Danio rerio: one gene and its partner. The main gene of each other region encodes a partner of the protein of the gene in region 2 in a complex. Links are inferred from orthologs where the notes say so. Each region holds a gene or a part of one and is shown on either strand. Other genes may lie near its edges.

Evidence for each region. Proteins that work in one complex are often made in the same cells at the same time.
Region 1: the proteins of sptlc1 (region 2) and ormdl3 are in contact, whole or in part, in a cryo-EM structure (PDB 7K0N), measured with the Homo sapiens proteins. The link is inferred for Danio rerio from reciprocal best matches to the Homo sapiens genes SPTLC1 and ORMDL3. Residues at the interface, in NP_006406.1 of Homo sapiens: Ala16, Leu17, Ala20, Pro21, Tyr23, His24, Leu27, Glu28, Leu31, Ile32, Trp34, Ile35, Leu38, Leu39, Ser41, Lys42, Thr43, Tyr44, Lys45, Leu46, Gln47; in NP_001307730.1 of Homo sapiens: Gly92, Val93, Gln94, Phe95, Thr96, Ala97, Lys100, Thr103, Ile104, Ile107, Tyr110, Phe111, Ser114, Tyr119, Gln121, Phe124, Thr128, Leu131, Met132, Leu139, Pro140, His143.

The regions. Positions count from the first base shown.
Region 1 is NC_133187.1:23,968,198-23,971,146, forward strand, and holds the end of ormdl3 (ORM1-like protein 3), read right to left. Parts: intron 1,431-2,949; coding exon 1,295-1,430; 3' UTR 599-1,294; downstream 1-598. UniProt on the Homo sapiens protein: Plays an essential role in the homeostatic regulation of sphingolipid de novo biosynthesis by modulating the activity of the serine palmitoyltransferase (SPT) in response to ceramide levels.
Region 2 is NC_133185.1:5,706,009-5,710,194, forward strand, and holds the start of sptlc1 (serine palmitoyltransferase 1), read left to right. Parts: upstream 1-1,289; 5' UTR 1,290-1,308; coding exon 1,309-1,362; intron 1,363-4,093; coding exon 4,094-4,186. UniProt on the Homo sapiens protein: Component of the serine palmitoyltransferase multisubunit enzyme (SPT) that catalyzes the initial and rate-limiting step in sphingolipid biosynthesis by condensing L-serine and activated acyl-CoA (most commonly palmitoyl-CoA) to form long-chain bases.

The DNA of each region.
Region 1 (2,949 bases), on a different chromosome or scaffold from region 2:
AGAACATAGTGGGTAAGAGCACAGTGTACTGTACTGTATAGTGTGCCATTTGGGACACAGCTTATGAAACCTACAGGTAAGTGTGCTGGACCAGGGTTGGAACTAAACTGTGCAGAGCTGCAGCCATTGAGTTATGGGGGTTACATAAATAAATAAATCTGTTATGAATGATGAGACCATCTCTTTTTTCATTTTTTTTGGGGGCATTTAATAAGCTGTCGGTCAGTACTGTATATTGACTACGGTATAATTGTTTTATGTAAATAAAACAATGGGGTGCCTCGTCTTTGACTCATATGCATTTGTAGGAGCAAGAGAGGATTTAAATTGATCATGCAATATTATTTACTAAACATTTACAGCCAAATTACTTGTATCTGTGCTATTGTTTAACATCTTTAAGAGCTTATCTAACCAATTTTGTGCTTGACATGACTGTGACAACTGCTAGAGAAGGATGAAGGCAGAAAACAAAACAAACACAGTAGAGGGGAGAATTTCCTCCACTCATGGTCATTAATGTGGAATGTCGTATGATGACATTATCTAAATATATTCATTTCAAAGTATAATTAAATGCTGTTATTTAATGTTTGCATATTTCCCATCTGCACTTTTATGGGTCGGTGCTCTCGTGTTAATTCCTCCATTTAATAAATCTGGCCTTAGAACACTGCAACTGGCATTTGCATACATCTCTTTAAAATATATTACTATATATAAATTTCAACTAGCTCTGTTTAAAAGTTTTAAAACAAGGCCCCTGCAAAAGTTTGCAAAAGCACAGGGTGACATTGTCCAACTATGGGACTGAAGCCAGTCTTTTGCACCTGGGCTAAAAACAGCATTGTACACTTTCTTCAGAAACACAGTAGCTTTCTTCTCTTTTCTAAACCCCCAGTGCCGAACGTACTCCAGGGACGTGCTGACTCAGGCACCCAAAACAGTTAAGACGACATGATGAACCAGCCTGGATGATTCTGACCCATCTGAATCATTGCACCAATGCAGCATTTCTGCCAAAGTGACTGAAAGCAAACACTCAGGTCCAAATGATGAAACACTGGTTCAACGCAGTCTTATAATCTCCTGCATTCCGCTGGTGGTTTAACAAAAAGTGCTTCTTTCTACTGAATGTTATACAAAAAAAAACACTGATCATTGCAGATTATTCAGCCGATTCGACCGCAAAGCAGCAGACCATCTCACAAAGCTCCTTTTTCATTCCCACAGAGTAAGTCAGGATGTGCCCTGCGTGTCAACACATCTTCTCGTGTTGAAGACCAAAGCCTCATCAATACTTATTAATCCCGAAAAGACGGACCCCGTGGAACTGAGGAAGTTTGGGGATAAGCACAGTGAGCAGGGAAATGGTGTTGATGACGAAGTGGACCCTGTCATACTTTGTATAGAAACTGGTCAGGAAATACCTGTAGAGGAGAAAAACAAGGACAAGATCAAGTTCGACGTCAGAAAGCAACATGAGATGCACAGAAGCAAAGGCTACAGAAGCTGTTCAAGCAGACACAGCACAGCATAAGACTGCATCTAATAACAGGATGTGGTTTCTTCTTGATTTTTCCTTGCACTTCCTTATATGTTCATAGTAATGTGAACAATAATCTTAATATGCATATACATACAACAAAATTATATACTTGTATTAACATACTATATGTAGACATGTGTGTGCATTTACAGAACAATACAGTACATGAACATGTTTTATGTAAATACAAACTTAAATTTTTGTGCACGATTAGTAATATAATGTAATAAGTAATATATACACAAACCGGCCACTTTATTAGGTACACCTTACTAGTACCGGGTTGGACCATCTTTTGCCTTGGAACTACCTTAATCATAGGGTACTGAAAATATTCCTCAGAGATTTTGGTCTATACTGAAATGATAGCATCACGCAGTTGCTGCAGATTTGTCGACTGCATTTCCATGATGCGAATCTCCCATTCTATACTTTGGACTTGTCTATACCGTCAATACTCAGGTAGGCTGTGGCATTGACACGATGCTCAATTGGTACTAATGCGCCCAAAGTGTGCCAAGAAAACATTCCCGACACCATTACACCACCACCAGCAGCCTGAACCGTTGATACAAGGCAGGATGGATCCATACTTTCATGTTGTTGACACAAAATTCTGACCCTACCATCCAAATGTTGCAGCAGAAATCGTGACTCAGACTAGGTAACATTTTTTCCAATCTTTTATTGTCCAATTTTGGTGAGCCTGTGCGAAATGTAACCTCAGTTTCCTTTTCTTAGCTGACAGGAGTGGCACCAGGTGTGGTTTTCTGCTGCTGTAGCCCATCCGCCTCAAGGTTCGACATGTGGTGTGTTCAGACATGCTCTTGGTTACCTCGGTTGTAACGAGTGGCTATTTGAGTTATTGTAGCCTTTCTATCAGCTGGAACCAATCTGGACATTCTCCACTGACCTCTGGCATCAATGAGGCATTTGAGCCTACAGAACTGCCACTCTGTAAACCCTAGAGATGGTTGTGCAAGAAAAACCCAGTAGATCAGCAGTTTCTGAAATACTTAGACTAGCCCGTCTGGTACCAACAACCATACCACGTTCAGTCACTTAAATCACCTTTCTTCCCCATTCTAATGCTCGGTTAGAACTGCAGTAGATCATCTTGACCATGTCTACATGCCTAAATGCATTGAGTTACTGCCATGTGATTGGCTAATTAGTAATTTGTGTTAACGAGCAGGTGACGCAGTGGTGCAGTAGGTAATGCTGTCGCCACACAGCCAGAAGGTCGCTGGTTTGAGCCTCGGCTGGGTCAGTTGGCATTTCTGAATTTGTGTGGGTTTCCTCCGGGTGCTCCGGTTTCCCCCAAAGTGCAAAGACATGCGGTAAAGGTGAATTGGGTAAGCTAAATTGTCCATAGTGTATGAGTGTGAATGAGTGTGTAT
Region 2 (4,186 bases):
CATTACTATAGAATTAAGCAGACCAGTCGTACTTAAACTAGTAGTAACTTTGAATAATCACTATACTATCTAAATAGTATTAAAAGTTTATCGGGTGAAGGACTATCCCCTTAGATATCCTTTTACAACCTAAGTATACATGAATAAATGCCAATTTGTTAGTCGGAGCTCTAGAGACATCGTGTAACGTGCCGCAATGCTCCGTCTACCGTGTTCTAGTCCGCTACTAACCTGAACAGGGGCTTGTGGTGCTATGAAATTACCACAATCTACTAAAGATAATAACACGAACTCTGTTTGAATCATTCAAAACATAACAATTTATTAGTCAGGTAAATGTATTATGCCAATTCAATCAGTCAATTCATAAACGATCAATACAAAACATCAAATTATCAAAGATAAATCCAAGATGAAAAGATGCATTCCTGACTTTGAAATATACATAACATGGAACAAGCCATGTTATGGGCTGATCTGGTTAGGCAGAATCGCCCTGAGTTTTTCTCAACCCTTACCTTAAATAATCCAAGAATTCCCTCAAGGAAGGGGGTGTGAAAAAAGGCATTCACACTTAGTGTAAAAGTCACACCCCTCACAGTGGTTCAAAAGATGCCTGTAGTTCTATATTTATTATTCTGATTATGTCTATTTCTGGGAGAATGAGACCATTGTACCAATCGCACTGAGACATTTCAAATGATATCAAACATGATAGTTAAAGTCAGTTTGGTTAGTCTAAAACATTGAAACATTGAAATGACCATATGTGTGACTTGGGGGGATGAAGCTGAGTCTCAGCATAGTCAGATGCAAATGCAGCAGGAACTGGTTTTTCACGCGTTCCCCCCTGGTGGGTTGTGGAGTCCATTGGCCCTGTCTTCAGCTCATGTTTTGAATTGTCAAAGATATCAGAATATTTGCAATATTTCAATTCTTACAATATCTAAAGTGGTTGTTACATTTCAAGACAACACAAAACAACAGCAACAACGGCAACACACACACACACACACACACACACACACACACACACAATACTGCATTTCCCCCATAACATTCTCCAGCAGCCTATATTAAATGTTCAGCTTACCAAACGGTATGCAACAGTACAAGAAATGTAACAAATGGTTTCTTTATAACCATAACGTAATGCTGGTTTGATGGTGACCAAGCAAATGACATCACATTCAAAAACAGAGGTGGAAAATCCGACTGACGAAGCCTGCAATGACGCTTCTCCTCCACGCGATGGCGCCTCTTTATCAATCAGGAAGTCGCGCAGAGCGATCATGTGACTCAGTCAAAATGGCGTCGGGGCAACAGTGGGTGTTGGTGGAGATGGTGCAAGCTTTTTACGAGGTAACTACAAACTTTCTTCTTTTGTCTTTTTGAGGTTTTTAAGATTTGTAAATATCGACAGACTGTTCTGCGTTTGCTGAGGTAAACAGGACTGGCGTAGGTGGTTGTATTCGGCTGTATTTCACATGTAATCTTCAGTAGTCTCATAGTGTAACTCCAGGAAGTGTTAAATATGACATGAGTATCAGTCAGACAGGTGAGTTGCACACCTAATTCTACCTTTACTAGTAGCTATAGTGCTGTACCAATGGTGGTGGATTTACACAAATATAGGTTCTGCTAAAAATTGAATTATGTCATTGTATAACAAGAACACTGTTTATTTTGTTTTTATCTGTTGCCAAATTGTGTAGTAAGTTGAGGTAAAGTAGGTTTGGTATTCGCAAATTCGTTCTTTTAATGGCCCATATATTGTTTATCGCGCTAAGTTGAATATTGAGTCTGAAATAGCACGCAAGGATGACTTCAAAACAATGTTACCACTATGTAATTGACTGTAAATAAGGTTGTACTTTGATAGTCATTAACTGCTGTTGTGATTTCCCTATTTAAAATTTGCAAAGAGTATTTTTCTGAAATTATATTATTAAGCAGAAAGTCTGAATGTGCAAAAATAACAGAAACAATTTCCGTATTTTGGTGAAAACTTCATTTTTTTCATGGCAACGTTGACATTTGCATGGAATGGCTTAACTTATTTCTTATAACTGATTTATTTTATCTTTGTCATGATGACAGTAAATAATATGTGACTAGATATTTTTCAAGACACTTCTAAACAGCTTAAAGGGAAATTTAAAGGCTTTACTAGGTTTACTAGGCAGGTTTGGGTAATTTGGTTTGTTCTGTAGACTATTGAAAAAATATACAGCTTAAAGGGGCTAATAATTTTAACCTTAAAATGGCTTTTTAAAAAATGTAAAAAACTGCTTTTATTCTAGCCGAAATAAAACAAGTAAGACTTCATGTAGAAGAACAAAAAATTATCAGACATGCTGTGAAAATTTCCTTGATGTTAAACATCACTTGAGAAATATTTTTAAAAAGAAAAGAAAATTTAAAGGGGTTTAATAATTCAGATTTCAACTGTATATTTAATCGATGTACAGCTATGAGGAGGAAACAAAATCAATAGATCACTTGAAAATTCTCAGTTTCTCAAGATGTACTGAATTTTCTTCTTGCGTATTTGGTGTAAAAGGTTAATGTATGTTTTATTCTATAAGGGCTTCTTCCAAATAAAATAATTTAATTCCAAGTTGTTGTTTTCTTTTGGCAATAGGCCAGAATAACAAACATGAGGCGTTGCTGTAAATGAAAACTAGGGTTTTCATTTCTTAATATTTGACATGTTTAATATGAATATATGACTTTTTTTTCCAATTTGACCAATATTCTCTTAATGACAACATTTTTATATTGAAATTGGGAAAAAGTAATGTCATGATGAGTAGTGTGACGGACAAAACTGAAATATGCTTTGCTCAAACATGAGACTATACAGTGGAATTGAGAACTGGAGATTCTGAGCCTATTTGAAGGAGGTTAAGCTATTTTGATCATGATTAGGTGATATTTTTGTTATCAGTAATAATGACAAATTGCACCTTTTTCCAACAGGGAAAACCACCAACAATTAAGACCATGTGATTATGTGCTGTCATGGCTTTGCAATCCAAAAATGTAGTTATAATTGAAGTCAATGGGGCAAAAACAGCCACACACAGTATGTTAGAAAGAAAAATAAATAAAAATCTGATTCTGCACACAAACAAACAATGCAGCAAAGCCAATGTTGTTACTAACCTTTACATGTCCAAGACTGTAATTTAAAAGTACAAATAATTATTCCTAAACATCCCAATTTCTGTTTATTGAATGATGATTATGATCTAAACTAACTAAAAGGTTATTTCATACTGCAGCCAAGAAGGTTATATTCAAAATATGGCATGAACCCGCATTCCCAGTGGATAAAATGTGTTCAAAAATTAGAACGTTCTACAGCAAGAATTAACAGAGCTAAACCCCATACAATCAAAGCATGGTCTGATTTTATTGAGAAAGTTTTTAATATAATAACTAGATAATTCTCACCCTAGAGTTTTTCTTTTCCTGTGTATTGTTATTTGTTTATAATTTTTTGCTTTTATTTTATTATTATATTTTTATTTTATTCTTTATGTATTTTCATTTAATGCAAACCCTGGTTTTTACAAAGTTGTCGCTAGCTATGTATGCTGGCTTTGTTCTGCAATAAATAAATAATCACAAAAAAAGGTACAATTAAATCCATTTCACAGTTACCTTTTTATATAAAAAATCAGCGACATTACAAACTTGGGAATTAAAGAGTCAAAATCCTTTATTAAAAGAACATTTAGTAGTTTTGAACAGGACTAAGGATGTTTAATATATCTCTGGAAAAAAATTAAGAAATACCTATATATCTGATACATTTTTACAGTTTAATTTAGCAGATGTTTTCATTCCGAACGTAACCAAAGCATTGTGAATTCACAAGGGTTAACAGGGTTTTCTTCTATCAAATCATCTAATGTATATTGTATGTATTTAATATGATATGTATATGGCTATAATATGAAATCCATCAATGATTTCTTTTACATTATTTAATTTGTCGCCATTTTATACAATTTCTTATGAATGCATCTAATAATCAAAGGAACTGATACTATTTGTGTGTTGTTGTTGTTGTTGTTTTTTCTAGGCCCCAGCATATCACTTAATTTTAGAAGGTTTTCTCATTTTATGGATTATCCGACTGCTGTTTTCCAAAACGTATAAACTTCAGGAGAGATCA